Nothobranchius furzeri: one gene and its partners. The protein of the gene in region 7 binds, or shares a complex with, the protein of the main gene of each other region. Links are inferred from orthologs where the notes say so. Each region holds a gene or a part of one and is shown on either strand. Other genes may lie near its edges. The genes, in order: nup153, nup160, cetn3, nup188, ranbp2, nup205 and nup214.

Region 1 (3,500 bases), on a different chromosome or scaffold from region 7:
TCTACTAGCTCCGCCCCCGAGATCACAGCTGTCACTCCTACTAAGGAAGCAGCCACAAATAAGGTTTGTCCTACATCTGCTTATTCCTACTTTTATTTTTAGAAGTGTAAAAGAACACTAGATAAAAATTTTTGTCCCCAACAAGGATCCACCGAAGGCGTCGACACCGCCCTGCGCACCGTTCACCTTTTCCTCCCCCATTGTCAAAGCAACTGCTGCCAGCCCACCTTCTTATTCCCCCTCCGTGAGTACATGCTTAAATTAACTCGTCAAATAGCCTGCTGTAAAAACACAGGTGATGCATGTTGTCTTGTTTCCTTGTAGACCGGATTTACTTTCAGCGCACCTGTAGCGAAGTTGGCTCCCTCTCTGTCCATGTCCAATGGAAATCTCGCCACACCCTCGGCACGACCAGGTGAAGGCGTTCGCCCACTCTTCATCTGTTCCTGATGGTCCACGGCAGGGGTGCCCAGTCCTGGTCCTGGAGGGCCGTTATCCAGCAGGTTTTAGTTTTAACTGCTTCAACACACCTGATTTCAATCAGCAGGTGATTAACAGGCTTCTGCAGAGCCTGATGAGATGCCGCACAGGTGATTCAACCAGTTAATCAAGTGTGTTGGAGCAGAAAAAACACAAAACCTGCTGGGAGACCGGCCCTCTAGGACCAGGACTGGGCTCCCCTGGTCTACGGTTACAGAGCATCTTGAGTGAGCTTCCATCTGTTTTCATGTGTTGCAGTGAAGTCAGTCGGAAGCAAGAGCACAGAAGAGTTTGAAGGACCTTTTAAACCAGCCAAGACGCTGAAGCAGGCCAGTGTGTTGGACCTCCTGAAGTCCCCTGGTAGGAACCTGTAGAATAATTTGTTTTTTGCGCTCTGAGGTCGGGCGGTAAGGAAAAATCTTTTCTAGCTGATATTGATCAGTCCAACAAATAACTGGTGATGTATTCACCCTCCAGAGCAATAATGGGCCCATATATGATTAAAATATTACCGTTGGAACCGCGGAGACATCAATTGTTCTAAAATATAACATTTTAGAGACTTTTTTCAACCTGAGCAACGTATCGTAGACCATGAAGAGGAAAAAGCTTTGGCGACACGCAGCAGTGGCTAACTGGCCCACTCCGTGATTGTAAAGTGCACGTTGTCGGATGTTAAAAGGCTAAAATACGTCCACACGACTGAACTGTTCGATCCCTTATTGTCGTTTGCTGTTTCCTCCGTCTTTTTCTTTTGGGGCGCAATTTTTTTTTTCTGTTTATATCATTCATGTCCCACCTGTTACCTGCGGTAAGAGGCTAACCTGTCTTCCCGCCAGGCATGAAAGCGGTGCAAAAAGGCAGCAAAATGTGCTATATGACAGTTAGCCACCATTTTAGTGAACGGTTTACTTTCTGTTGAAAGCAAAGTAACGTTTTGGACGCATCCCAGAAGCAAAGGGAAGCTTTCATGACGTCACAAGTCTATTTTTTTGCACGCTAAACTTCCAAAACACGTCAAACACCAGTTCAGATCGGGCCAGACAGGAAGTCAAACATGAAATCAGTGACAAACTTCAGAAAACTTTCAAAATAAAAGTCAGAACAGAAAATTAACCATACCGTTTTGTGTACATGGAGCCGTCTTGCTCCTCGCTATTGTGTGGACTTCTGAAATCGCGCATGGGGTTGGAATTCTCTCGTGATTTTGCGATCTCGCGGGATCGGCTGTGTCTGAATGGCTCCCAGTCGGAGGGGAGCTCGAGGGTGAAACGCCGCTGCTTTCACATCTGGTGGAAAGCTGGGGTAAAGCTACACAAACATTAGCTGTTAGCGTGTCAGTCTGTCTGCCGTGTGATTGGTCCAGCCGGGTGCAGCACTTAATATGATTGGCTATCACATCTATGGAGGAAATGTTCAAACGGATATTGCTTTCGTTCTACTGCCCAGCCCTACTTGTGGAGGACGCTATTTGGACTTTAGTGGATAAAGACGAGTTTTGTTTCAGATGGTTGTTTTCTGTCAGTGATTAGCGGCTTTGAACCGTATGTTGGACATAATTTCAAATGTAGTTTGACAAAGGTGGTTGTATCCGTGATTGGCACTAAAATCCCAGATTTCTGTATGTGTACAAAGAGAATGTGGCAAGAGGACCCTGATTTTTCTTGGAAGTATAGAATATCTCATCCTCAGGACTTATAAAAATATTATCTTTAAAAACGATCGGTGCAGGAGGTCAATCGCCCGGCCTTTTTGTGCGTATTTTAATAAAAATGTTTTTATCTTAACGCTCCGTTTCCCCTCTCTAGGTTTTGCTTCTCCCGTTGCTCCGAACTCCTCAGACCCAAACGTTGCTCCACAGCAAACACCGACGCCTCCCGCAGCACCCGTCTCAACGGCCACAACCTCCTCCTCCTCCTCCCTGCCTGCTCCTACAGAGTTTGTTAGTTTACCGAAGGCCCCTGCGGGTTGGAGCTGTGACGAATGCTTGGTTCAGAACAAGAAGTCGGACACAAAATGTGTTTGCTGTGCGGCTTCAAAACCAAACAATTCACCTAAATCCACGGAGGGCAAACCGTCAAACGACAGTGCTGTGGGGCTGGAGAGCATCAGCACGAGCGCCGCTGTGACCACGACGGGGTTCAGTCCCATCTTTTCTAAGCCTGCAGGAACCTGGGAATGCGATACGTGCATGATCTCAAACAAACCAGATGTGGTGAAGTGTGTGGCCTGTGAAACGGCCAAACCCGGGACGGGGCTCAAACCCTCTCTCACCTTTTCTTCTGCCTTCTCAACTGTTAAGACTGCACCCGCTCCCACAACCCCCATTTCCACAGGCATCAGTGGATTTGGAGATATATTCCAAAAACCCGAGGGCTCGTGGGAATGCCAAACGTGTTTGGTACAAAACAAGGCGGAGGACACTAAATGCGTGGCTTGCAAAGAAGCTAAACCGGGTAATGGCAGCATGGTGTTTTGATATTTACTTTGTTTTTACTCCACTTTCTTATTGAGGCATGTTCTTACTGAGCATCCTTTTTATGTTCAAATCGTTAACAGGAGCTACAGCGGAGGCTGCCTCATCAACCAGCAGCGCCCCAGTGTTTGGATTTGGAGACAAGTTCAAGAAACCAGAGGGATCCTGGGACTGTGACGTTTGTCTGGTGCAGAATAAAGCTGCTGATGTGAAGTGTGTTGCCTGTCAGACGGCCAAACCTGGAGCTAAGGTGGAGCCTAAAGGTACCTAAAGGCTGTTGGGATGAATAGCTTATCAGAACGGGGAAAAAGGATTATTTTTACAGCGATCCTAGAATTTAAAACCACATTAATGTTAATTGTTGACGGCTTGAGTTATGAAATGTACCAAAAACCTGCTTTCCTGTGTAAATTTTGTCTGTAGCGGCAACCTAGAGACGATTCATTCTGAGAAGAGCTGATTACTCAGTTTTCCTTTTTTAAGACAAACATTTTGCAGGTTTAAAGAGCAAGTCACCCCCAAATCACATTTTTTTTTTTGCTGA
Region 2 (3,500 bases), on a different chromosome or scaffold from region 7:
TGTTTTGGTTTTAAAGACGCGTTCAAGTCATTTAGAACAGAGGGAAGACCTGCACCTAACTCTGCTTCAGACGCCATGTTTGAGAAAATGAGCAACATGGTGTGTGACGTACGCTGCTCAGCGCTGATTGGCTCAGTTAGAATTCTCAGGGGGCGGGGTTATTTGAATACAAGAGTTCCCAGCTGGTCAGGCTAAAACTCTGTGTGAACAAGGTTTCAGTGATGTGTGCAAATACACACGACCTACACAAGGTGCACAACTACCTGCAATAGCTGCAGATGGTGGGTGGTGCTGTGCAAGAGAGAGGCGGGCCCGAGACAGAAAGTACTCCCTCTCCAGATCATTCAGCTCCAGAATGTCCACCCGATGTCTACCTGCAGCTGGAGACACACAGTAGCGAAAAAAAGAAAACAATCGTTTTTGTAGCGCCTCTCAAGATAAAAATCGCACGGTGCATCATGAGAACAAAATTCAAAAATATTTTAAATGAATTAAAATATCATAAACATGATAAAATTTTATTTTGTGATAAAAATGTGAGTTAAAAGAAAGAGAAGACAGAGGTAATCAGTAGATCCCAAGAAAGGCAGAATTGGTAGAAAGAGCAGAACAAGGAGAGTTCCAGAGTCTGGGGGCCACAGCAGCAGATGATCTGTCACCTTTGACCTTTAACCTGGTGCTACACAACCAGTAGGCTTTGGTCACTGGACCTCAGGGACCTGCTGGAGGTGTAGGGACTGAGAAGATCACCAATGTAAGATGGTGCTTGTCCATGTAAGGCCCTATAGACCAGAACCAGGATCTTGAAATGAACCCTGAAGTTGACTGGCAGCCAGTGAAGCTGGAGGAGAAGCGGGGTGATGTGGGTGTGTTTGGAGGACAGATCATATCTAGAGGTGGTGATAGGGTCCAAAGAATAATAATAATTCTGAAGATACAACAAAGTACACATAAAAGTATCATCATCCGTTACTCCTTTGGCAGTAAAATATATTACTTTTCTGATTGTTACATCAGTATTCATTAAAAACATAAGTCTAAGTTAAAAACGCATTACTTGTCACACACACTGATGTGTGTGCTAAATTTGTTCTCTGCATTTGGTCCATCACCTGGGGGAGCGGTGAGCTGCAGCTGTGGCTGTGCTCGGGAACCATTTGGTGGTTTAACCCCCAACCCAACCCATTAATGCTGAGCAGGGAGGCATTGGGTCCCATTTTTAAAGTCTTTGGTATGACCTGATCGGGATTAGAACCCTGATCTCCCAGACTCAGGGTGGACACTCCACCATTAGGCCACTGAGCTGGTGTAGTTAAGTAATTACACCAGCTGTAATCATTTACTGAAAGGTGAGGCAGGATGATATCAGAGAGACGACAGGGAGAGAGATTGGGGCTGCCCATGTCGCGCCTTTACCTCACACCAGCAGCATCTCACCTGGTGGAGCAGAAAACTCTCCATCAGAATTCCTCTTTGGAGACGCTCCAGGTCGCTCATACTGCAGCAGATCAACACATCGTTATCAACACAGCTGTGTGTGTGTGTGTGTGTGTGTGTGTGTGTGTGTGTGTGTGTGTGTGTGTGTGTGTGTGTGTGTGTGTGTGTGTGTGTGTGCGTGTGTGTAGCATACCGTGCTCCCTGATGCTGGCTGAACAATCCAGGCGTACTCACTCCTGATGAGGCGGAGACAGTTAAGAGCAGCCAGGTAACAGTTCACCTGTTTCTGAAGGCCAAGCTGCGTACGAATCTCCCGGCCCAGACGCATCCCAAACTCAAACATGACGGTCCCCGCTGAGTGAACACGGATACACACACTATGCAGTCGCACACACGTATAATTAGGTGGAATTTGCATGTTTGCTTTGGCACCTTTCCTGTAGTTGTGTCGGGTAATGTGGAAGGCGTACAGAAGCTCGTAGTAATTGTGGGTCAGCAGATCCAAACTACGAGCACGGGACTCGATGATGCTGACTACCTGAAGGTCCCGTGAGAAGGTAAATATTACATTTTTAGAAATAAACACATGCAACAAAACAACTGCAGAGAAGAAAATCTGTTCAGGCTTTGCCAGACTGTGGATGAATGAAACCCATCCAGCCATCCATTTTCATCCGATTATCCGGAGTCGGGTCGCGGGGGCAGCAGCCTAAGGCGAGAGGCCCAGACTTCCCTCTCCCCAGCCACTTGGGCCAGCTCCTCCGGGGGAATCCCAAGGTGTTCCCTGGTCCGGTGAGAGACATAGTCCCTCCACCGTGTCCTGGGTCTACTTTAGGTCTCCTCCCAGTTGGACGTGCCCAGAAAACCTCACCAGGGAGGCGTCCAGGAGGCATCCTAACCAGATGCCCGAGCCACCTCAACTGGCTCCTCTCGATCTGGAGGAGCAGCAGGTCTACTCCGAGCCCCTCCCGAATGACCGAGCTTCTCACCCTATCTCTAAGGGAGAGCCCAGCCACTCTTTGGAGAAAACTCATTTCGGCCGCTTGTATCCGCGAACTCATTCTATCGGTCACTACCCAAAGCTCATGACCATAGGTGAGGGTAGGAACGTAGATCCACCGGTAAATCGAGAGCTTTGCCTTCTGACTCAGCTCTCTCTTCACCACGACAGGCCGGTACAACGCCCGCATCACTGCAGACACAGCACCAATCAATCTGCCTATCGATCTAATGAAACCGTTAGGGTTAAAGATATCCACCCAAGCACTACGCCCCAGCTCCCCATCAGGCCCAGTGGTGATCAGCTCCAGACCTGCCTCAGAGGTGGAGCCTTTATACCGACCAGTCAGAACTTCCACATGGACCCATTTACAGACAAACAATAACATGCATAGGTTACAAGTGTGTTTGGACTGTTTCCGATACATAAAGATACCATGGTAACGGTAAAGGTACTGTGGTAATGGTAAAGATACCATGATAATGGTAATGTAAGGTAAAGATACCACGGTAAAGGTAAAGATATTATGGTAATGGTAAAGATACCATGATAATGGTAATGTAAGGTAAAGATACCACGGTAAAGGTAAAGATATTATGGTAATGGTAAAGATACCATGATAATGGTAATGTAAGGTAAAGATACCACGGTAAAGGTAAAGATATTATGGTAATGGTAAAGATACCATGGGAAAGGAAAAGGTACCATGGTAATGGTAAATATACCACAGTAATGTAATGGTAAAGGTAAAGATACCATGGTCATGGTAATGTAATGTAAAGGTAAATATACTATGGTAATGGTAAAGATATCATGGTAAAGGTAAAGATGCCATACGATGAACAACTGCAGGAAATAAAAGATTTTCAGTCAGGGCTCACCTCATCATGCAGGTGGACGTAGGGAAACTGGACTAAATCCTGCAGCTGAGAGCGTTCACACAGAACCACCACCAGCTGGCGAAGACAATCCAGCTGCCTGGAACACAAACAAGCATTCAGCTGAAACATCACCGGAGGATCAGTCTGAATATTTACAGATCAGATGTGTGAGAATCTGTCCG
Region 3 (4,011 bases), about 19 Mb from region 7:
TTATTAAAGTATGATGGTGCCGGGTCTGACGACTCTGGCTCTTTGGGAAATGACAAATGAGTAGGGTTGGCAAAACAATTTAAAAATAAATATGCCACATTTAACTAATAACTGCAACAGGTCAAATAGGATACGAGTGAAACAGATCTGATCTTCTGTGTTTTACTACATCACATTAACACGTTCCTAACGGAGCTTCAGACTCGTCTTCTACACAAACACACTCCATGAATAAAAGCTCGCTTCTTAAAGAAATGCCAGCAGGTCAGCATCATATTGACACTTCATGTCTACGAGAGGAACTGAGCAGTGTGAGCAGATGTTGGTCCAGACACGATCTGGTGCTTTTATTTATCAAACCAAGTCAGAACAAAGCTCCAGGCTCCTGATAAAGTCCAGTCCACCTCAGAAGCAAGAGAACAAGGCCCATATCTCCTCCCAATATGGGCAAAGAGTCCAACTTACAGATGGGGAAACCTCTTCATGGGTCTCTGGTCATGATGGAGAGGAACTCCTCCTGATTTACTGAAAAGAAGGGAAAAACACCTGGTCAGATCTACTGGATTTACCTGGAAAGCTTAGACGCAAGAATGAAAGAAAACAAACAAAAAGCGAAGCAGCAGTGGATTTTTGTTACTTTAACTGAACATGTTTACACATTGTCGTTAGTAAATCTATTTTGTTCCAGGGCAGCAGATGCCTGCTGACGTGACAGGATCTGGTCTAACAGTGAAAGCAACAATGTTAGGAACAATCATATAAATAATTAAAATGCCTGTGTGTGCCAGAAGATGCAGTGATGATGTTGGTATTGTTGCATCTGCGGCTCTAATCAGACACAAAATCACAACAAAAGAGAGACAGAGTTGCTCTCATCTCAGACTCCGGTCTTACTTTCTCCATCCCCGTCTGTGTCAAACTCGTCGATCATGCTGCGTAGCTCCTCGTCGCTGATGTTCTCCCCGAGTTCTCGAGCAACCCGTCTCAGGTTCCTCAGGCTGATCTTTCCTGACTCGTCATCGTCAAACAGCTTGAAAGCCTTCATGATCTCCTCTTTGGGATCTCGCTCCAAGATGCGATCCGTAACTGTTGAGGGGTAGGGAAAAGGTTTAGTAGCTAATGAAGCACCTCAAGCTATGAGGTAATACCAGAGCCGATGACCACCTTACCCACTTCGCTGAAATCCTCAAAGGTGATTTTCCCACTTCCCTCTCTGTCGTAATCCTTCAGAATCTTCAGAACATCCACTTTCTTCACTTCAAAACCGAGAGCGCGCATCGCCACCTGACAAGATGTTTAAATGTTGTTTTGGTTTGAATTCAGGATTAGAACAATTAGTAACTAGCACTAAAACAACAAATAAATGTTATTGCTGTAGAACGTTAGCTCCAATTCCCCTGGAGCTTTATTTCAGCAGGGTGCCTTCAGACATGGAAAACCCATTAGCGTTTCTCCAAAAGGTGATTAAATGGTATTTAGTTACTTTTACTTACATAATAATACATAAATACCTGGTGCTCCACATTCACAGCAGTTAAAGAAAAATAGGAATGATGAGGTTATAAAAGCATAACTTATATACGGCATTATTTCAGGCACAAAAACCATAAGGTAACCATAACAACCACCACTATGGCCCATTTTCTTACCTTCAGCTCGTGATAGTCAATCTCCTTATCTTTATCCGTGTCAAATAAGTCAAAAGCTTCTTTAATTTCATGCTTTTGGTCCTCGGTGAGCTCCCTCCTCTTCTTGCGCTTGGTTGTCTCAGCTGCAAGATCAGTTCTGCTGAAACAAACACACATGCAGTCTCACCTCAGACACTACCTGTATCACAGCCATGACTTATTAATGCATTAACCCATACACTTTGTTATCCAATGAGAACTAAACCATTTTCTGTAATGTTTATTGGGGTCTCTCTGATGACACAGGGTAGGCTAAAGGATCTTAAAAAAATCTACCTTATGCCTTGTTCTAAAAAAAATCAAAAGCAAAATAACCCAGAAGAACATCTAAAGCTTTGTAGGTCAAACTTGGTTAAGGTTTAAGGTCATGTGTCAACAATAAGGTAAACCTCATTCTCCAAAGCCTCTGCTGAACAACAACAACAACAACAAAAACAACCCACATTTACCAAAAACATTGGGAGGACCTCCAAAAGTCTGGGGGAAATTGTTTATTGACAGATGGAAAAAAACAAAACAAAACAAAAAACTAGTACATTCGGGTCCCCCACCGTTTCTCCGCCAGCTTCTTTGTAAACTGTTGTGTTTAGCAATATTATTTCAAGAAAATCCCTAAAAATATATATCTTAATCATTTGGTCATTGCTGTAGCTGTGAAATTCATCATGTTTAGTGAATATCACTAATTCTAATCTAATTCAGATTACGATACAATTAGATAATATTACTCAATTTACAGTTATACACAAGGGACTCGTTCCCTCATAAATGTCTTATCCTGATAAAAAAAATAACATCTACGCCTATAATTGTACAATTTGGCAGGACGAAATCATCTTGACGAGACAAGCGAAGGCGTACGTTTTTCAACTGGGGAACAAATCTCGACGTACCACCGGTTTCAACTGAACTGTAACAGCCACATCTCGCGACAAAAGGTTAGCTCCTTACCTTAGAGATAAACTCATTCCAGGTGAATTTATAAAACCTTTAAACCAAATGTTATTCTGAATGCTATGTGGCTACAGCTTCCAGCAAACACAACAAATCCGTTTATCCGCGCTCACACACCAGGAATCCTATTGGTCGCTGGTTGCCAGGCAGCAGTTAGGCGAGATCTGGTTGGTTAATGTTACTTCTTCAAGGCCGCTTACCCGGTCGTTGTCATTGCTCTATGCAGTCAATTAGAGCACTATTGCCACCTCGTGTTCATAACTGATACCACAGTCTATATTATACATATGGATGGATATACATATGCCCGGTATATATATATATATATATATATATATACACATACAAACCAATGATGAATCAAAAATATTCTGACACATCACCATTGCATAAAGAAGAAGAAAGGGCCTGTATATTATGTAAGGTACCTAAATTCTCCTAAAATTTTCAATATCTGGTGAATTTGGACATAGAGAATTATTCTAATGACTTCACGTGCTAATGTAACACTCACAAGGTCTTTATGAACCTCAAATCTTGATTTTGTTTTAAAAAAAATTTTGGGGTGGGGGGACACCCTCTCCACCAGCTGTTAAAGTCTCATACGTTCAAGCTGCTTTATAAAACTATTATTCCAAGCCCAGTTAAATCTTAACTTTCAGAAATTCTAAGCAGCCAGAGTTCAGAGTTGCCAAAAAGTGCTGCTTTTAGTTTTTGCCCACCAAAGAGTGCTCTTTCATAGGAAAAATCTTCTTTCTCTAAACTAAGTTGTGGATGTTCTAACATCGCCAGGACTTTTTGAGTGCCACAGGATTTTAATCTATAACAATGTAGTATGTTACCAGTAGTAACCTTTGTCACTGTGGTGCCAGCTCTCTTCAGGTCATTCACTAATTCCCCATATGTACTTCTGGACTGTTTCCTCACCATTCTCAAGATCATTTGTACCCCACAAGGTGAGATCTTACACAGAGCCACAGGTCGAGGAATACTGTCAGTGATTTTGTATTTATTCCAGTTTCTAATAATTGCTGCAACAGTTGATCTCTTCCCACCAAGTTGCTTACCTGTTGTGGATTTACTCAAGCCAATCTTGTGCAGGTGTACAATCCTGACACTGATGTCGTTTGTCAACTCTCTGGTCTTGGCCATGGTGGAGTCTGACTGACTGAAGGTGTAGACAGGTGTCTTTTATACAGATACCAGTTGCCACTAATTCAGTCAGCAAGTGGAGGATAGATAAGCTTCTTAAAGAAGAAGTAACAGGTATGTGAGGACCAGAATTATTGCACATATGTAGGCACTAAATATGTATCTTCTGCACCATGATACAAATAATTTCTTAGAAAATTTTACAGTGTGACTTCCA
Region 4 (3,999 bases), about 4.0 Mb from region 7:
CTTACAATAATAAATACATTCATCCAATTTTAACACATAAATACAAAGTCAGTGAGGTGACCTTACCCGATCCGGTCAACCAGCACGTCCATGCTCTTGTCCACCAGGTGTCTGTTAGTCTGACGCAACCCAAAGCCTTGCTCTTTGAACATTTTGGTGAATTTTACAAGGTCGGGTGGGCTCATCTCAAAGTATGCATAATACAGGAAGATGATCTCCAACAGCAGAGACTGTTCCCTCAGACACTGCAGGAACCACCGTGAGACTTGTCTCTCCGTCTTGCAAACGAGAAGAAGAGTGTAAGGAAGCAGACGGGGCTACAGTACGCTGCTGTAAAAATAAACCCAGTGTTTACCATGAGGTTGCCATGGGTTTCCCATGTTGGTGCTTCAGCCTTGAAGAGGTTCTCAAACTGTGACTGATAGCTGTTCACCAGGTCCTTCTCCAACTTGTTGACACAGTTACTGTACTCGGCCTTGACAAAAAAAAAACAAGGATTATTTACACAAAAAAACATCACATCAGGAAGAAATGCATTTAAAAAAAGAAATATGTCTCACCCGATAGGGGTGTCGCTCATCCTGGAAGTATGTCAGCAGCAGCAGGACACATCTGAGCAGACACATGCGCTCCTCATAGTAATAATCAGCGATCTGTAAAAAAATTAACAACACTAGTAAAAACAGAAATGATTGGAAAATGGCACAGAAGTGACGTAATGCTAGTTTGGGTGCATACCTTTAGGAGAAGAGCCTGACTCTTCCGTTCCTCGTTGAGAACAACCTGTCACAGAAACTACTGTTAAATCTCTTCAGACCTATGATTTAGTACCAGTGGATTTTTGTTTTTCTAGTAAGTTATAGAACAAAAAAAGTTGAAAGCAAACACCTTTAAAGAATCACGAGTTCCTCTGTAGTCCTCCTGCAGATAGCACTGTAAAAGCTGCACACTCTGCTGCTCATCAAGATTCTAAAACATTATTACAACAATCCCTTATGAACCAGCAGTCATGAAAACGTAAGAATCCACCCTCTGTGACATAAAAAGATCTAAATGCTTACCAGCAGTTTACTAATCCTCAGACCAAAGTCTTTCAGGGGCTGTGCAACATCTTTGTTTTCCTTAACTTTCGCAGCGGAGGATGAACTACGGGAGGTGAAGCTAATAGTTACTCATTTATTCATGTATCTGATGTGAAAATACCTTGATGTAATTATACCTGGGTGGCTTGTAGTAACTGAGTCCCTGATGCAGTCTGTCCCAGTGCTTGTCAAGCTCTCCCTCTATTTGAGCCTGCACCAAAAATACAAATGTGTGTGTGTGTGTGTGTGTGTGTGTGTGTGTGTGTGTGTGTGTGTGTGTGTGTGTGTGTGTGTTTATATAGAAGTTAGAATAGCATGAGTTAAACCAGGAAATTACTTATGGATAAATTGTCTAAAATTTTGGATGGTCAAGTTCAGCATACGCTCTCTTTGAGTGAGGAGGACATACCGATTCTCTCAGAGCAGACTTCCCCAGCAAAATGGTCCATAACTCTCTACAGCTCCTAAGAGGAGAAGAGAGGTGAAAGTCAGCAAATCAATAACCTTTAATAAATGAGATATGATGCAGATCCACTACAAGGAAAATACTACAATATGCAAATTTGACTTGACAGGCTGCATTTGTGAGTGACCTCAGATGCATTTAACTGATAAAACATAAATGTGTCCTGGGCAAAACTGTAGACCTGCCCGGACTCCTTATGCCTCAATTAGATGTGAAGTTTGTCAATCAGGTTATACATATCTTTGTTTGTCAAACGCATGTTGCACATGCACCCACCCAATGCATTTAAAACACAATAAGAGAGATTTAGTTTGTGTTTAAAGAAAACTGAAATTCAAACCCAAATGATCATCAAGGTCAGATTGTAGAGAATGCTGAGCTAATGCACTGTACTGAATCACCAAGAACAATACAACTAAATATGAATGGAACCACTACACACACTTCAAACATCCTCACTGACTGCCTTAAATACAAAGGTTGATACAGAATTAAAATGCTTTATTGTTTTTCCTTAAAACCTTGAACTAAATTCTCTTAAATCGTGTTTCTGTACCAGCTTTGATATAAAACAACTTTGTCAATCTGCCTCTTTGAAATCCCATAAGTTTTTTCTCAACACCGGTCTGACAGATTCAGCAGTTTTTAAATGTCCTCTAATGTTCCTCAATAAGCCTTTTATTTATGGTAAAACTGTTAAATAATACAGTTTATTTACTACGATTGGTTTAAGGTTCTGTTGGGTTCATTTTAGAAAATCTGTCCGTTAAAATAATTCCAACTTAAGACGGTCTTTTCCATCGTGTCTAAATGATGGGTTTAGCTTCAATAGACTAGCCTCTTTTACTACAAGACGTAATAATTTTGACATCAGCACGCGTTTTCTATCTCTGCCAGAAAAATCTCCCTGGCTGACAACAGCTCTGACTGTTGTTGACATGTGAGGTAGCGCCGCGCTACAAAAACCTTTTGAAATGTTTAGCTGCTAGCACATGCTAAGCTATACGAGCATGGTGCTAATTCTTTTTAAAACAGACTGTTAAATGACTCTGTTGCCACAGTTGTGATTTAATAAATGAACACGGGCTGTAGCCAGATTTACTCATTATCAACGTCTCTTAACTATTTATTAACAATAAATGTTAGTTAGTCGCTTATGTTTCTACCTGACACTCATCTCCGATTCCGCCATCTTAGATTCTGCCCTGTGATTGGTTAGTAAAGTGTCTGACGTCTTTACAAACGGAAACTTTCTTCTTCGTGAATTGGACTTGTGCTTAATGATGCTTTACTGCCCTCCTCTGAACAAAACGTTTAATTTCAGTTCCTTGCAGCAGGTTTGTTTTAAATTTTACTTTACTGAGGCACTTTTGCTGTTCATTTTCAATTTTCATTTTTTGTTTGAATTCATATTTAGGTGTTCTGTTTACTTATCACTGAATACATTTTCTTTTATTTTAAAACTGGTTTCACTTATTTCAGATATCTCGTTTTAACATTAAGCAGACTGGATATGTGTTGTATTGTTCCTAGTAGAAATTAAAATTCCAGATATCCACGAGAACATTTCTACTGTCCAGCATGACCGTTTTTTTTAGATATGTGAAATGTAACAAATGACATCACATTTCCCATTCATGTTTATTGGCTTCTACAGCGCTTCCACAATTACAGACTTCCTGTCAAGAATGAACATTGTAGAAAGAAGAAACGGAATTAGGAGTTACATTCCAGATATCTGAAATAGTCGTTCTGAATAGTTGGTGTGGATGTTAATTACTGCTAGGAACAACTATAAATATCTAGAATGGCTGTCTGGCTTGTCAAGGACGCTGCAGCGGCAGCGCTCCTCTATATAAAGCGAAACAGACAGCTGCCGGTTACAGTAATCAATACACTTTATTGTCAAAAATCACCAAAATATTACTGTAGAAATGGGAAAATGATGGCTTCAGCATCCAGTTCTGCCAGAAGACGCTGGCAGCGCTGAGCTGTTTGGAAGAGGAAAACATTAACCACGTGACCGCCGACACGCAGACGGAGCTGTTTGACAGCTGGCTAATCTCCAGGTGCTTACAATTAATTAGAATGCGCATGCGCCTCAGAGTGGAGCTACTTGACAGATCATCTCCAGATGGTTACAATTAATTAGAATGCGCATGCGCCTCAAAGTGCATAAATTCGCAGACGTGACGTCATATACAGTTACTTTACATTAGCAGATCGAGCAGAATAGCACGCAGCTAGACAAGCTTTCAGAAACATGTCGAGCAGTTTTAAAATAGCCCTCGGTACCAGAATTGAAAGTTTAACCAACACGTATATAGTTAAGTTACTCCCACCTGTGGAAATAAATGGTGAAGTTTTGACCATTTGCCAAGATCAAAATGAGGAAATGTATTATGTGAAATGTATTCACAAGAGAGTTTTACATCGGTATAAACAAGAAGC
Region 5 (4,124 bases), on a different chromosome or scaffold from region 7:
GTCCCTGAGGTCCAGTGATCAAAGCCTACTGGTTGTGCAGCACCAGGTTAAAGACCAAAGGTGACAGATCATTTGCTGCTGTGGCTCCCAGACTTTGGACCTCTCTCCCCCTGAGCCTGAGATCAGTGGACTCAGCGGTCTCCTTTAAAAAGCAGCTGAAGACTCACTTGTTCAAGCTGGCTTTTGTATGACCTTCTTCACCACTCTCTCTTTATTCTGCTCTCCCCACCTATTCCACCTTCCTCAGGATCCACTGATTTCCTTCTTTCCCATTCACTCTCTCTCTTTCTTAACATTTTTTCTTTTAAATCGCAACAGCTTATTCTTGCTCATTTTAAATATATTTTAAACATTTTCAAAATGCTTTTTTATATTTTTACAATTTTTATATTTTTTGTTTTTGTTTTTGTGAAGCGCCTCGTGATTTTTATCTTGAGAGGCGCTATAGAAATGATATTTTCTTCTTCAAAACCAAATTTGTCAAGAGACTGAAAAATGAAATTATGCTCAACTGTATCAAAGGCTTTGTAAAAGTCTAAAAACAAAATGAAACTGTTGTCTTGAACAAGCTCAGGGTAATTTAGGAGGTCTACAACAAGCCTAATATTATTGGTGATATGTCTGTTCTTCATAAAGCCTGACAGTGTGTCATCAATGATTGAGTGTAGAGTTGATTTTAACCTTTTAGCAAGAGTGACAGCAAGGATTTTATAATCATTATTGAGAAGACAGATAGGGCGCCAATTATCAATGAGCAATGGATATTTTTTGGGTTTAGGAATTAATATCGTTAGACCTTGAGTCAAGGTGGGTGGAAGGACACCTCTTCCAATACTTTCATTGAAAACCTCATACAAAAAGGGCTAAATCTTGGGATTACTCCTGCAGAATGTACAGACCCATGTGAAAACCAAATAGTATTATCCCATTGTGTTTTCCAAAAACTAGCATCCTTTACAGTAGAATGACTTTTTTGAAAGAAAAAAAAATCTGGTAACCCCCTGGCATTTAGAGAAAATAAAGAAAGCACGACAACAACAAAGAACACCAACAGTAAAGTTCAAATATTATTGAACAACCTGTGTTGAAAAGTGTATAAGATTGGACCACCGTAACTAGTTCCCAGCAAACCAATAAGTAAACTGCAACACCAACACATTAACTTGAAAATGTGTTAACATACCCATATTAGCGAGGCGGAGGTGGTCTCCCCCATGGTCTCCCCTCTGTTTTAAAATTCTGTGCGTCAGCGTGCGTCAACGGAATATTCGTTCCTTATTGGTTAAAAGATCGACCCACGTGACCTTTGCCTTTTGACGGGAACGACTCGAGACTGCGCACTACCATCGTGGGGAGTTAATGTGACGTAGGAGGAGAAATAAATATTGTGGATTTCGTTAACTCGTATTGTTTTATACGGTATCTTTGACTATTTTAGACTTCTTTGATTACTGCGGCCATGCGGCGGAGTAAGGCTGAAGTGGACCGTTACGTTTTCTCTGTACAGAGTTCCTCTCCTTCACTCAAAGAGGTAAATGGTTCCCCCTAGCTATCTGTTAGCATGCCGCTGCCATTAGCAGATTAACATGTGACATTCAACTGGTGTAAAAACTAAAATGGGACATGATGTAACTAGACGATTAGTGTAGTTCTTAGTTAGACGGTGTGTAAATAGTTTTTGCACTAACTGACTTTGGTTTAAGCCGTTAGCTTTCCCCGGCTGGTAGCGCTCTGCTAGCTTACCCGGCTTGTTTCGGTCGGGAAATGCGCGGTTTAGCTTTGGGAGACGGCATCAGCCTGTTAGCCTCCTCGCTGACAGCTTTATTCCACTCATGTTATTTTGGTGAGACGCGTAAATACATCCACCTGGATTCGCACATACAAATAAGTGAAAGTCTTCTTTAGGAGCCGTGTGGCACTGGGAGAGACCTGACCCTAGCAGATTCAGTGATTAAACTTTTATTCCATAATGATATCAGACATTATGTTGCTGTGAATGAAATGTTTCATTAAATCATTTCCCCATAACTACTGAGCAATGTCTTATATTTCATTAAAGTCTGACTTTACCGAACTTGTTATTTTTAATTTTAAAAATGGCCAAGAGGTGATGTCGGGATCTAGGAGCTGATATTCAGCATGTTTCCACTACATCGGCCTCTTAGAGCTGATTTTACAACGGGCACATCCGTGGGCAGACAAATTTTATCTAAATGAAAATGTTCCTGAAAAACATGTTCTAAAACGTTGACAACTGACATTTTAACCGGTTTTAGACTTAATACCAGGTCAGTCTATTGATTTGTCTGATTTATTTAGGCTAAATGCTTGATTTTGATGCTGAGCATTGAACAGAGTGTTGGTTAAATTCAGAGTTTAAAAACTGATTAGGTTAAGAAATGTTGCTGACATTAGTGACATTTTTGCGTGCAAATAATGAAAACAATGTCTAGCTATCACTCATGAAAAGAGGCCCCAAACATCAGCAGGACATATCGGCTATTGGCTGACTGTTACCTCAACATGTCGAACGCTCATTCAGAAATATCACCGGTGATGTGCTTTATTGTTCTGTTGTCCCCTACAGAAGCCAGTTAAGGGGTTTTTATTTGCCAAGTTGTACTTTGAGGCAAAAGAATATGAGCTTGCAAAAAGGTAAGGATGAACATCTCCACTGATTCCATCTTTAAAACATTTGTTGACATGTTTAATTCTCTTTCTAGGCATGTATCAGATTATCTCAAAGTACAGGAAAGGGATCCCAAAGCACACAAATTCCTCGGACAGCTCTATGAGCGAGATGGAGACATCAGCAAAGCAGTAGGATGTTACAAGGTAGAGGGAACTCTATTAGATAGCATTTTCTGATTGGTGTTTTTTATTGATCTTTAATGTTCTTGACCTCTACTCGCGCAGCGCTCAGTGGACTTGAACCCAGTGCAGAAGGACCTGGTGTTAAAGGTAGCCGAGTTACTTGTAAAGAAACATGAATGTGACAGCAGAGCAGAGTTTTGGGTGGAGAAAGCTGCAAAACTCATGCCTGGACACCCAGCAATCTACAACCTAAAGGTTTTTATTTTCTTTCTCCTTCATCTGAATTAAAACTTCTCTTTGTACTCTCCATGTCAGCTGAGAAGTGTTTGTTCTGTTGTGTACTTAACCAACAGCTGTCTGTTTCTTAGCCAGTTGTGTGTGTACTAATAAAAAGCTGAAGCCACACTGAGCTTTTTGTGCACCTGTCGTTGTTCAGGAGTCTCTGTTGAGTCGTCAGGGCCAGCAGGGCTGGAACCAGTTGTTCGACCTCCTCCAGGCTGAGCTGGCAGCACGGCCAGCTGATGCTCATGTGAATGTGAAGATGGTTCAGCTGTTCTGTCAAGATGGTCGGCTTGATGAGGCTGTTAAACATTGCCTGGCTGCTGAGAAAAGGGGCCTGCTGCGCAACAGTCTGGACTGGTACACCGTGGTGTTGACCACTCTGCAGGTCAGAACATCTTTTAAATATACTGGAAGTATAAATTAGCAGTTTTTATTTCTGTGCTTTGGACTTGTTTTATCATAATAAACCGCAATGTTTGAGTTGAGAATGAATCTGAAGAATGGATAGTTGTTGTTTCAGGAATATCTGGATCAACCCAGTGTTTCCAGTACTGAGAAGATGTATCGGCATCTCCAGAGAGAAATGTTGTTGACACGCTGCAGCCTGCTGAGGATTACACTGTCTGGAAGCGGAGTGCAGCCGAGCCTGGAGGCATTCAGGGGGTAGGTCAGGTTCTAGACAGTCTGTATATCGTGAGAAACTGTTCAGTTTAGTATATTCTGTATTTGCATGCATTTAATATGATTTTGATCACTGCACTCATTCTTTTTGTTTTGCAGTTTTGACCAAGCAATGCAAGAGCTGAGCAGCATTGCCAGTCGCCATGCAGATGAACTTTCTGAGGTGTTTGTGGAGATGAAAGGTCACCTGTACCTGCATGCCGCAACATTGCTGTTGAAACTGGTGCAGGACCGCCAACAAACCTGGAGGGCTGTTGTTGACCTGGTGGTGCTGTGCTACCTGCTAGCTTGTCAGGTACTTCCTGTGGTGTCTGTGTTGGTGCAAACTAGAGTTGTCACGGTAACCG
Region 6 (3,500 bases), on a different chromosome or scaffold from region 7:
GTCTCTGGCTGATCAGGCTCTGCTAGGAGACGTCTTCCTCTTTATGAAGGAAGGAATGTTGGGATGTGAGGGTTTTGTCCAGGAAGAGTTTTATATCCGCCGCCTCCATTCACTCATCACAGACTTCCTGGCCCTCATGCCAGTGAAGGTTAGAGGTTTCAACAGTGACATCATAGATTGTTGTCATCACGGAGGTTTGAATCATGCTTTAACAATCGCTTTAAACTGCAGGTGAAGCAGCTTCGTAATCGAGCCGACGAGGATGCCCGCCTGGTGCACATGTCCCTACAGATGGACGGTGAACTCCCGTCATCGTTGCGGAAGGATTTAGATCATCTCATGGTTCTGGTCAGTCGTCTTATCTAGCAAGTGTTGAGGATAGACTTAAGGAGCTGCAGCAAAGATGCAAGAAGTGAAACCTTTCTGTTGTTTGCGTTTGGAGTTTAAGCTTGTTGTGTTTGCTGTGTGTGGTTTCAGATCGGGGAGTTTTACAGTAACGATCCGTTTGGCTTGGAGCTGGGTTTGGAGTTCTGGTGTCCCACAGAGTCTCTCCAACACACCTCGCTGCAGGGGTCCTACCTGGGAATGGCCCTGCAGCGGCCTCCTCATAAACAGGTTGAACTTTCCTGACCTACAGAATTCGAGACAGCTGCACCATGACGCACTTTTGTGTGACTTTCTTTGTAAAGTGTTGTTGTTTTCAAATGCAGGTGGTTCTGTCCAAGTTTGTGCGTCAGATGGGAGACCTCCTGCCCTCCACCCTGTACCTTTCTTATCTCTGCATGCTGAAAGGCCTCGCTAATGGTCCACAGTGCGCTCATTACTGCTTCAGTCTTCTTAAAACAAACGGAGCTACACACAGTAAGAATGAACTGTTCTTCATGTAAACACATCACAGTATTTAGAGGAACAGTTATTTAGTAGAAATCCAAAAGGTCCATTTTTACAATAAAATAATCATTTTTATGATTTATTAAAATGAGTTTAGGCGACTTTAGTCCGATAATCGTCCTGAAACCGCTTGCTCTTAAACGCGTGAAGAATGGCTAAACGGGTTTGAGGTTAGCAGACTCTGGGCGCTGCTGTTGCTAAAGCTAAAAATCCTTGTGAATGTCTGCTAACCCTAACCCTACTCTGCTGTAGGCGACAACATCCAAGGAGTGTCGGGCAGCCCGGTGTCCTGGGAGCATTTTTTCCACTCCCTCATGCTTTACCACGAAAACCTGCGACGGGATCTCCCTAATGCAGACTCCTCCCACTACCGCCACCCGCCTCTCAGGGGCATCACACAGAGAGAGCTTGAAGGGCTGACTTCCTTTCTGCAGTTACTCACCACCATCATTTCCTGGGTACCGTACAACATGTGGTCATATTTTTAAAAGCTAACATAAAAGCAAAGTTTAAAAACTCTTATTATGTTTTTCTCTCAGAGTGAGAATGCTCGTCTGGCCTTGTGTGAACATCCCCAGTGGACCCCGGTGGTGGTGATGTTGGGGCTGCTGCAGTGCAGCATTCCACCCGTTTTAAAAGCTGAGCTCCTTCGGTCCCTGGCAGCCTTCGGGAAGTCACCAGAGATCGCCGCTTCCCTGTGGCAGTCGCTGGAGTACACCCAGGTAGAACCGAACCGTCTTCCACAGGGATGGAAAACGGTTCCTGGAGCCCTGAGATGAAACACACACACACACACACACACACACACACACACACACACACACACACACACACACACACACACACACACACACACACACACACACACACACACACACACACACACACACACACACACACACACACACACACACACACACACACACACACACACACACACACACGAGAAACCAAGCTTTAGGTTGCTTTAAGTATTTTTCTGTAAGAATTTTTATTTGTTTTTTGCTCTAGATCCTTCAGACAGTTCGAGCGCCGGGTCAGAGGCAGGCAGCAGGAATTGAGGTGGGTGTTTTTATTGTTGATGACAGATTTTCAATAAGAAATACTATTTGAATAATTATTACTTGATAAAAATGTAAAATCAGCTTTACTTGAGGGAGGTTTTTGGGGTTTTGTTAGATTTTTAACAGCTTCATTATAAACATTTATTATTATTTAGTTCTAAATCTTCCTTTTAACTAGACGGGACAGGTGACGGCAGTGTGTGTTTCAGGTTGAGCTGAATGAGATCGAGTCCAGCTGTGAGGAGTACCCTCTGACGCGAGCCTTCTGCCATCTGATCAGCACGCTGGTGGAGAGCAGTGTGCCTCTTAATCTGGGGGTGGGCCTTCGTGTCCCCGGCTTCCAGCCCTATCTGAACTTTCTGCGTGAGTCTGTGTTTCTTCCCTTTCCCACAAGAGCGTACCGCCGTCCCGCTGAGAAGGTAGCTATCTCTCTAGCCTTTAGCGAGCTGTCTGTTGTGTGTTTTATAACTAAAACAAGCGTTTATTCGTTTATTCCTCACGCGTCAGTGGGAGGTGGCCGACTCTGTCCTGGAGGTGTTCCACAAGCTGCTGCGGAGCTATGAGCCGCAGCCATCAGACTTCATCCAGGAGACGGTGGAGCTGCAGGGCGAGCAGGTCCCCGCTGACAAGCCCCCCGGCCACAGCATCATGTTCCACCTGCTGAACGACTCGCCCATGCTGGCTCTCTGCCTCAGCCTGCTGGAGGAAGGGGCTCGCCAGCTGGACACCTACGCACCCTTCCCTGGTGAGAATACAAATGGCGTTTATGTGCACGTTGCTATGACAACAGGGCTCGTAACTCCCCCGTCCATTACAGGTAAAAAGCACCTGGAGTCAGCTGTGCTGCACTGCCTCCAACTTCTGGACCTGACTCTGCAGAAGGAAGTGGTGTTCATGGATCTTCTCAGGGAGAGCCAGGCCTCCATGCTTGTGTCTCCGCTAGAGCAGCTCTTCCAGGGAGTCAGTCCTCAGACCCGACGAGCCGATCACATTGTCAACATTGCCAGGTTTGTGCATGCGTAATAATAATTGAGTTAGTTGTCATCCCGCAGCTCTGATGTCCTCCTGCAGGTATCTGTACCACAGCAGCTCCAACCCAGAAGCAGCTTTCCAGAGTGCTAAGATTCTGCGGCGCATCGCCACCTACCCCAACATCCACGTACGGCTGGTGGGAGATTTCACACACGACCAGGTATCTACTACCAGATGTGTTTCCTTTCAGGGTCCAGGTGTGTTTATTGTGTTTAAGCAAACGCGTCTGTGCTTCAGGCTGTGAGCGAGAAGCTTTTGGCCGGCTTTGTGGAGTGTCTGGATAATGAAGAGGCAGAAGAAGGACCAGAAAAGGAAGATGGTAACTTCTGGTCTGTTACTTGCACACCACTGGAGTACTAACAACTTTAAACTGATGAACCAAGGTTCTCAACCATCAGACTTGGACCAACAGAAGAAGATGGCAAGAATTCGACACGAAACCCAGATCCACATCCTGAATCTGCTCATCACCTCCTTGGAGCTGAAGGCACCTAATCTGGCTCTTTACCTTCT
Region 7 (3,500 bases):
GAAAAAATGCTTTAAATTCAACGTTTAAACTCGACAGTTTCAATATTTTTATTAGAAATGAAACTGGGTGCACACACACTTTTAACCTTCCTCCTCCTGGTTCTCCTCAGCAGGTGGATTTGGCAACGCTCCGGTGTTTGGGAGCCCTCCTTCTTTCGGTGGTACCCCAGCTTTTGGGGGCGGAGCCGCCTTTGGCTCCAGCCCGTCTTTCAGCAACCCCATGGGTCCCTCCGCTAGCAAAGTGTTTGGTGAGGGAACTGCAGCGTCCAACATGGGAGGATTTGGGTAAGAGCAGAAATAAAACTACTTCTGAAGAGTAGATCGGTGCTGACTGGGCAGTTCCCATGTAAAGAAGTTTGATATGGAAGTCATTCTCATGGAACTCTGTGCATCCATTTCCAGTTTAAATACCAGGAAAGCTGCATTTGATCTATTCTGTTTCTGTTGTGGTGATTCGGCATGTGTTTTGATTGCAGCGAGTTTGGCTCAGAGCCTAAAACTATGGATCTCTGCAGGAGTAGATTATTCCCCTCAGATAATCCCACTCTGGGGTCATGCTGCCTGCAGATTAAACTGGCCTGCTCTCTCTACTTCTCCCACTGTTTTGCTTAACCTCTTCTCTCTCTCTCTCTCTCTCTCTCTCGCTCTCTCTCTCTCGGTGGGCCTGATTCCTGTGGAAGGATCTAATTCCTGCTCATATCCCCGCCTTTAAATCTCATATATTCACGTCTTCTGCCTCGCTGACATGTTTGCTTGAAGCAGAACATAATCCCTGCTCTTGTCTGTATAGATTACAGATTTTATGTTGTCATGCATTTAGGCTCATTTATGTTTTAACCAGACCATGTTTCTGAAACGCAACACACTACTCGTGTTTGCCTCTGTGTCCAGGTTCGCTTCAGCCCCCAGTGGCCCTTCCTTTGGATCCATAGCCAATCAGAGCGGCCCGTCCTTTGGGAGCTTGGCCCAGCAGGGTCCTGGATTTGGAAGTCAGCCCAGCAGCTTCTCAGGCTTTGGACAGCAGCCACAGCCCGGAGGTGAGACGTCTACCTCACAAAAGGAGGGAAAGTTTGGCTACAAAGGAAATTTGGAACAAAACTTAAAACCAGCCTTTTAGTTTTGATTATTATGTTTGCTGTTTACATCTCTTACTTTCCCTCAGAAGAGATTTATGTGAACGGTTCGTGTTTAAGTAAATGCTGCTGTTGCTTATATACGGTTTGTGTTTTTTATTTCATAGTTTTCACTGCAAACACCTTTGGATCACCTGCAAACCAGTAAGTGTGAATTCATATTTTGGTTGAGCACGGATGAGTGGCTGCACGTGTGCGGCACGTTGTCATGCCTGTAGGGTTTCCACGCTTCCGCAACGCTGCTCCCTGCTTTAATACCTCATCTAACCTCGTTTCTGTCCCTGTCCTCGCCTTTGTCTTCAGTTTAGACTCACTTCCACCATTTGGCTGAACTCGTGCACATTTTCTGTTTTAAGTGTTTGGATACAAATTTAAATTCAGTTTGTTTATTTATATAGCACCAAATCACAACCAGAGTCGTCTCAAGGCACTTCACACAGTAAACATTCCAACGCAGGTCAGGTCATAAAGCCAGTCAGTAAAAAGTTTCCTATATAAGGAACCCAGCAAAATGCATCGGGTCGCTGACTAGTGTCAGTGACTTTACAGCAATCCTCATACTAAGCACGCATGCAGCGACAGTGGAGAGGAAAACTCCTTTTTAACAGGAAGAAACTTAAATAGGTTGTTTTTAGAACAAATCGTCATTAGATTAGCTTTTTTATCCTGATGCATCTTCATTTTTATGGACTTTCCTCTTGATGTTTTCCCTCCGTTGGCCAGTGTGAGTCACATGGTTCAGCATCATGACCCTTTATCTCAGGGGTGGGCAATTAATTTTTACAAGGGGCCACATGACAAAACCCGAGTTGCATCGGAGGGCCACATTAACGACATCTTGAACCCAAGTTGGCTTAACTTTCTTAAATAGTAAAATTCACTAAATTATATATCACAAATAGCTGGTACTGGTAATCAGAAGAATACAACTAAAATAAAATAATGCAAATATTTACATTGGGCTATGCTATGTGAAACTGTGGCGCATATTCCAAATAAAACAAAAACAACCGCAACCACCGAATCAATGTCATTTTATTTTAACATGTTTAACTCAACAAACAAGAAGTTTATAGAAATGCAACAATACAATGACTTGTGTTATGTTTTCTTCAGTGAGAAATAAGTGAGTTTTTCAGTGAGAATAATCCAGCCTGTTTTGGTTTTGAACAAGGGCATTGAAATCTGGCTGAATGGCTGAGGTGGCTATGCGAAGAACAGCTGAGAGGTGGTCATCAGTGACAGAGGACCTGTGTTTGGATTTGTTGAACTTCATCACCGAGAATGTCTGTTCACAAACATAGGTAGATCCAAAGAGAACTAGCATCCTCTGAGCATGATTCCTCAGGTGTGGAAAGTTCTCTTCTTTGAGGGAGGAATAAAAGTCCAGCAGTGAGACTGACCTGAAGTGCTCTGCCAGAAGTGTGTCAGACTGCAGGTCGATGAGTTCCATCTGAACATCACTTGAAGCATTATCCACACTGCAGGTGAAGGGAGAAGAAACCATGTTCATTTCATTTTCAAGAGCTTTGAAATCTTGAAATCGCCTTGAAAACTCTGCATGCAGTACTTCTAACTTGGCTGAGTACTTGTGGAGGTGATTGGCATTTGGAATAGCCTCCTTTAGTGTTGGCAAGTGGGTCAGAAAGTTGTCCTTCACTTGGCTTGAGATAAACTGCAACTTCCTCATGAAAGCCTTTACTGCACTGTACATCTCATGCACAAAAAGTCCCCTGCACTGCAGTTTGACATTTAGTTGGTTCATTAGTGCAGTCACATCCACAGCAAATCCGAGGTCTGCCACCCAATCTTCATCTGAAAGCTCTGGGACGGCATGTCCTTTCTTCACACAAAAATCCTGAATCTGTTCTCTCAGATCCCAGACACTTTTCAGTACCTTGCTTAGGCTGAGCCACCTGACAGAGCAGTGGTAGCTGATGTCACCATGTTCCATCTCATTTTCCTCCAAAAGAGCAATAAACTGTCTGTGATTTAATGCTCTTGCTCTGATGAAGTTAACAGTTTTAGTTACAACATCAACAACGTGGTCCATCTTTAACACTGTCTTACACAACACTTCCTGATGTATAATACAATGCAAAAATGTCAATTTCTGCACAGGATTAATTTCTGTTACTTTATCCTGCATTCTCTTTAAAAGTCCTACATTTTTTCCAGTCAGATTTGGACAACCATCTGTTGTTACACCTGCCAGATTGTCCCATTTCAGTCCTAATTTTTCCAAACATGCATTTACCTCTATGAATAAGTCATTGCCGGTTGTTGTTCCTTTCATTGACTGCATGGCAGCCAGCTCCTCCGTGACTTGAAAGTCTGTAGTTATTCCACGTAAAAAGATGAGAAGCT

Evidence for each region.
Region 1: nup214 (region 7) and nup153 share a complex: the UniProt entries of both Homo sapiens proteins name them as parts of the nuclear pore complex. The link is inferred for Nothobranchius furzeri from reciprocal best matches to the Homo sapiens genes NUP214 and NUP153.
Region 2: nup214 (region 7) and nup160 share a complex: the UniProt entries of both Homo sapiens proteins name them as parts of the nuclear pore complex. The link is inferred for Nothobranchius furzeri from reciprocal best matches to the Homo sapiens genes NUP214 and NUP160.
Region 3: nup214 (region 7) and cetn3 share a complex: the UniProt entries of both Homo sapiens proteins name them as parts of the nuclear pore complex. The link is inferred for Nothobranchius furzeri from reciprocal best matches to the Homo sapiens genes NUP214 and CETN3.
Region 4: nup214 (region 7) and nup188 share a complex: the UniProt entries of both Homo sapiens proteins name them as parts of the nuclear pore complex. The link is inferred for Nothobranchius furzeri from reciprocal best matches to the Homo sapiens genes NUP214 and NUP188.
Region 5: nup214 (region 7) and ranbp2 share a complex: the UniProt entries of both Homo sapiens proteins name them as parts of the nuclear pore complex. The link is inferred for Nothobranchius furzeri from reciprocal best matches to the Homo sapiens genes NUP214 and RANBP2.
Region 6: nup214 (region 7) and nup205 share a complex: the UniProt entries of both Homo sapiens proteins name them as parts of the nuclear pore complex. The link is inferred for Nothobranchius furzeri from reciprocal best matches to the Homo sapiens genes NUP214 and NUP205.

The regions. Positions count from the first base shown.
Region 1 is NC_091759.1:94,286-97,785, reverse strand, and holds part of nup153 (nuclear pore complex protein Nup153), read left to right. Parts: coding exon 1-63; intron 64-145; coding exon 146-244; intron 245-324; coding exon 325-415; intron 416-738; coding exon 739-840; intron 841-2,288; coding exon 2,289-2,936; intron 2,937-3,039; coding exon 3,040-3,219; intron 3,220-3,500. UniProt on the Homo sapiens protein: Component of the nuclear pore complex (NPC), a complex required for the trafficking across the nuclear envelope. Functions as a scaffolding element in the nuclear phase of the NPC essential for normal nucleocytoplasmic transport of proteins and mRNAs.
Region 2 is NC_091744.1:79,813,594-79,817,093, forward strand, and holds part of nup160 (nuclear pore complex protein Nup160), read right to left. Parts: intron 3,416-3,500; coding exon 3,319-3,415; intron 1,976-3,318; coding exon 1,870-1,975; intron 1,792-1,869; coding exon 1,631-1,791; intron 1,499-1,630; coding exon 1,438-1,498; intron 381-1,437; coding exon 264-380; intron 1-263. UniProt on the Homo sapiens protein: Functions as a component of the nuclear pore complex (NPC). Involved in poly(A)+ RNA transport.
Region 3 is NC_091746.1:37,904,279-37,908,289, reverse strand, and holds the start of cetn3 (centrin-3), read right to left. Parts: upstream 2,801-4,011; 5' UTR 2,657-2,800; coding exon 2,640-2,656; intron 1,789-2,639; coding exon 1,650-1,788; intron 1,285-1,649; coding exon 1,170-1,284; intron 1,087-1,169; coding exon 895-1,086; intron 526-894; coding exon 482-525; 3' UTR 1-481. UniProt on the Homo sapiens protein: Plays a fundamental role in microtubule-organizing center structure and function. As a component of the TREX-2 complex, involved in the export of mRNAs to the cytoplasm through the nuclear pores.
Region 4 is NC_091746.1:61,212,051-61,216,049, forward strand, and holds the start of nup188 (nucleoporin NUP188), read right to left. Parts: upstream 2,801-3,999; 5' UTR 2,741-2,800; coding exon 2,715-2,740; intron 1,547-2,714; coding exon 1,492-1,546; intron 1,294-1,491; coding exon 1,220-1,293; intron 1,147-1,219; coding exon 1,062-1,146; intron 970-1,061; coding exon 889-969; intron 784-888; coding exon 739-783; intron 654-738; coding exon 561-653; intron 476-560; coding exon 356-475; intron 279-355; coding exon 67-278; intron 1-66. UniProt on the Homo sapiens protein: Component of the nuclear pore complex (NPC), a complex required for the trafficking across the nuclear envelope. Required for proper protein transport into the nucleus.
Region 5 is NC_091747.1:23,210,481-23,214,604, forward strand, and holds the start of ranbp2 (E3 SUMO-protein ligase RanBP2), read left to right. Parts: upstream 1-1,324; 5' UTR 1,325-1,459; coding exon 1,460-1,531; intron 1,532-2,587; coding exon 2,588-2,655; intron 2,656-2,723; coding exon 2,724-2,835; intron 2,836-2,916; coding exon 2,917-3,069; intron 3,070-3,250; coding exon 3,251-3,481; intron 3,482-3,604; coding exon 3,605-3,759; intron 3,760-3,876; coding exon 3,877-4,072; intron 4,073-4,124. UniProt on the Homo sapiens protein: E3 SUMO-protein ligase which facilitates SUMO1 and SUMO2 conjugation by UBE2I. Involved in transport factor (Ran-GTP, karyopherin)-mediated protein import via the F-G repeat-containing domain which acts as a docking site for substrates.
Region 6 is NC_091744.1:88,200,816-88,204,315, forward strand, and holds part of nup205 (nuclear pore complex protein Nup205), read left to right. Parts: coding exon 1-148; intron 149-231; coding exon 232-348; intron 349-477; coding exon 478-615; intron 616-710; coding exon 711-861; intron 862-1,143; coding exon 1,144-1,349; intron 1,350-1,430; coding exon 1,431-1,613; intron 1,614-1,902; coding exon 1,903-1,953; intron 1,954-2,164; coding exon 2,165-2,374; intron 2,375-2,462; coding exon 2,463-2,700; intron 2,701-2,772; coding exon 2,773-2,962; intron 2,963-3,026; coding exon 3,027-3,147; intron 3,148-3,224; coding exon 3,225-3,306; intron 3,307-3,370; coding exon 3,371-3,500. UniProt on the Homo sapiens protein: Plays a role in the nuclear pore complex (NPC) assembly and/or maintenance. May anchor NUP62 and other nucleoporins, but not NUP153 and TPR, to the NPC.
Region 7 is NC_091746.1:57,218,654-57,222,153, forward strand, and holds part of nup214 (nuclear pore complex protein Nup214), read left to right. Parts: intron 1-110; coding exon 111-285; intron 286-891; coding exon 892-1,037; intron 1,038-1,240; coding exon 1,241-1,277; intron 1,278-2,041; exon of another isoform or gene 2,042-2,268; coding exon of another isoform or gene 2,269-3,500. Other genes in the region: general transcription factor II-I repeat domain-containing protein 2B-like, read right to left, coding at 2,269-3,500. UniProt on the Homo sapiens protein: Part of the nuclear pore complex. Has a critical role in nucleocytoplasmic transport.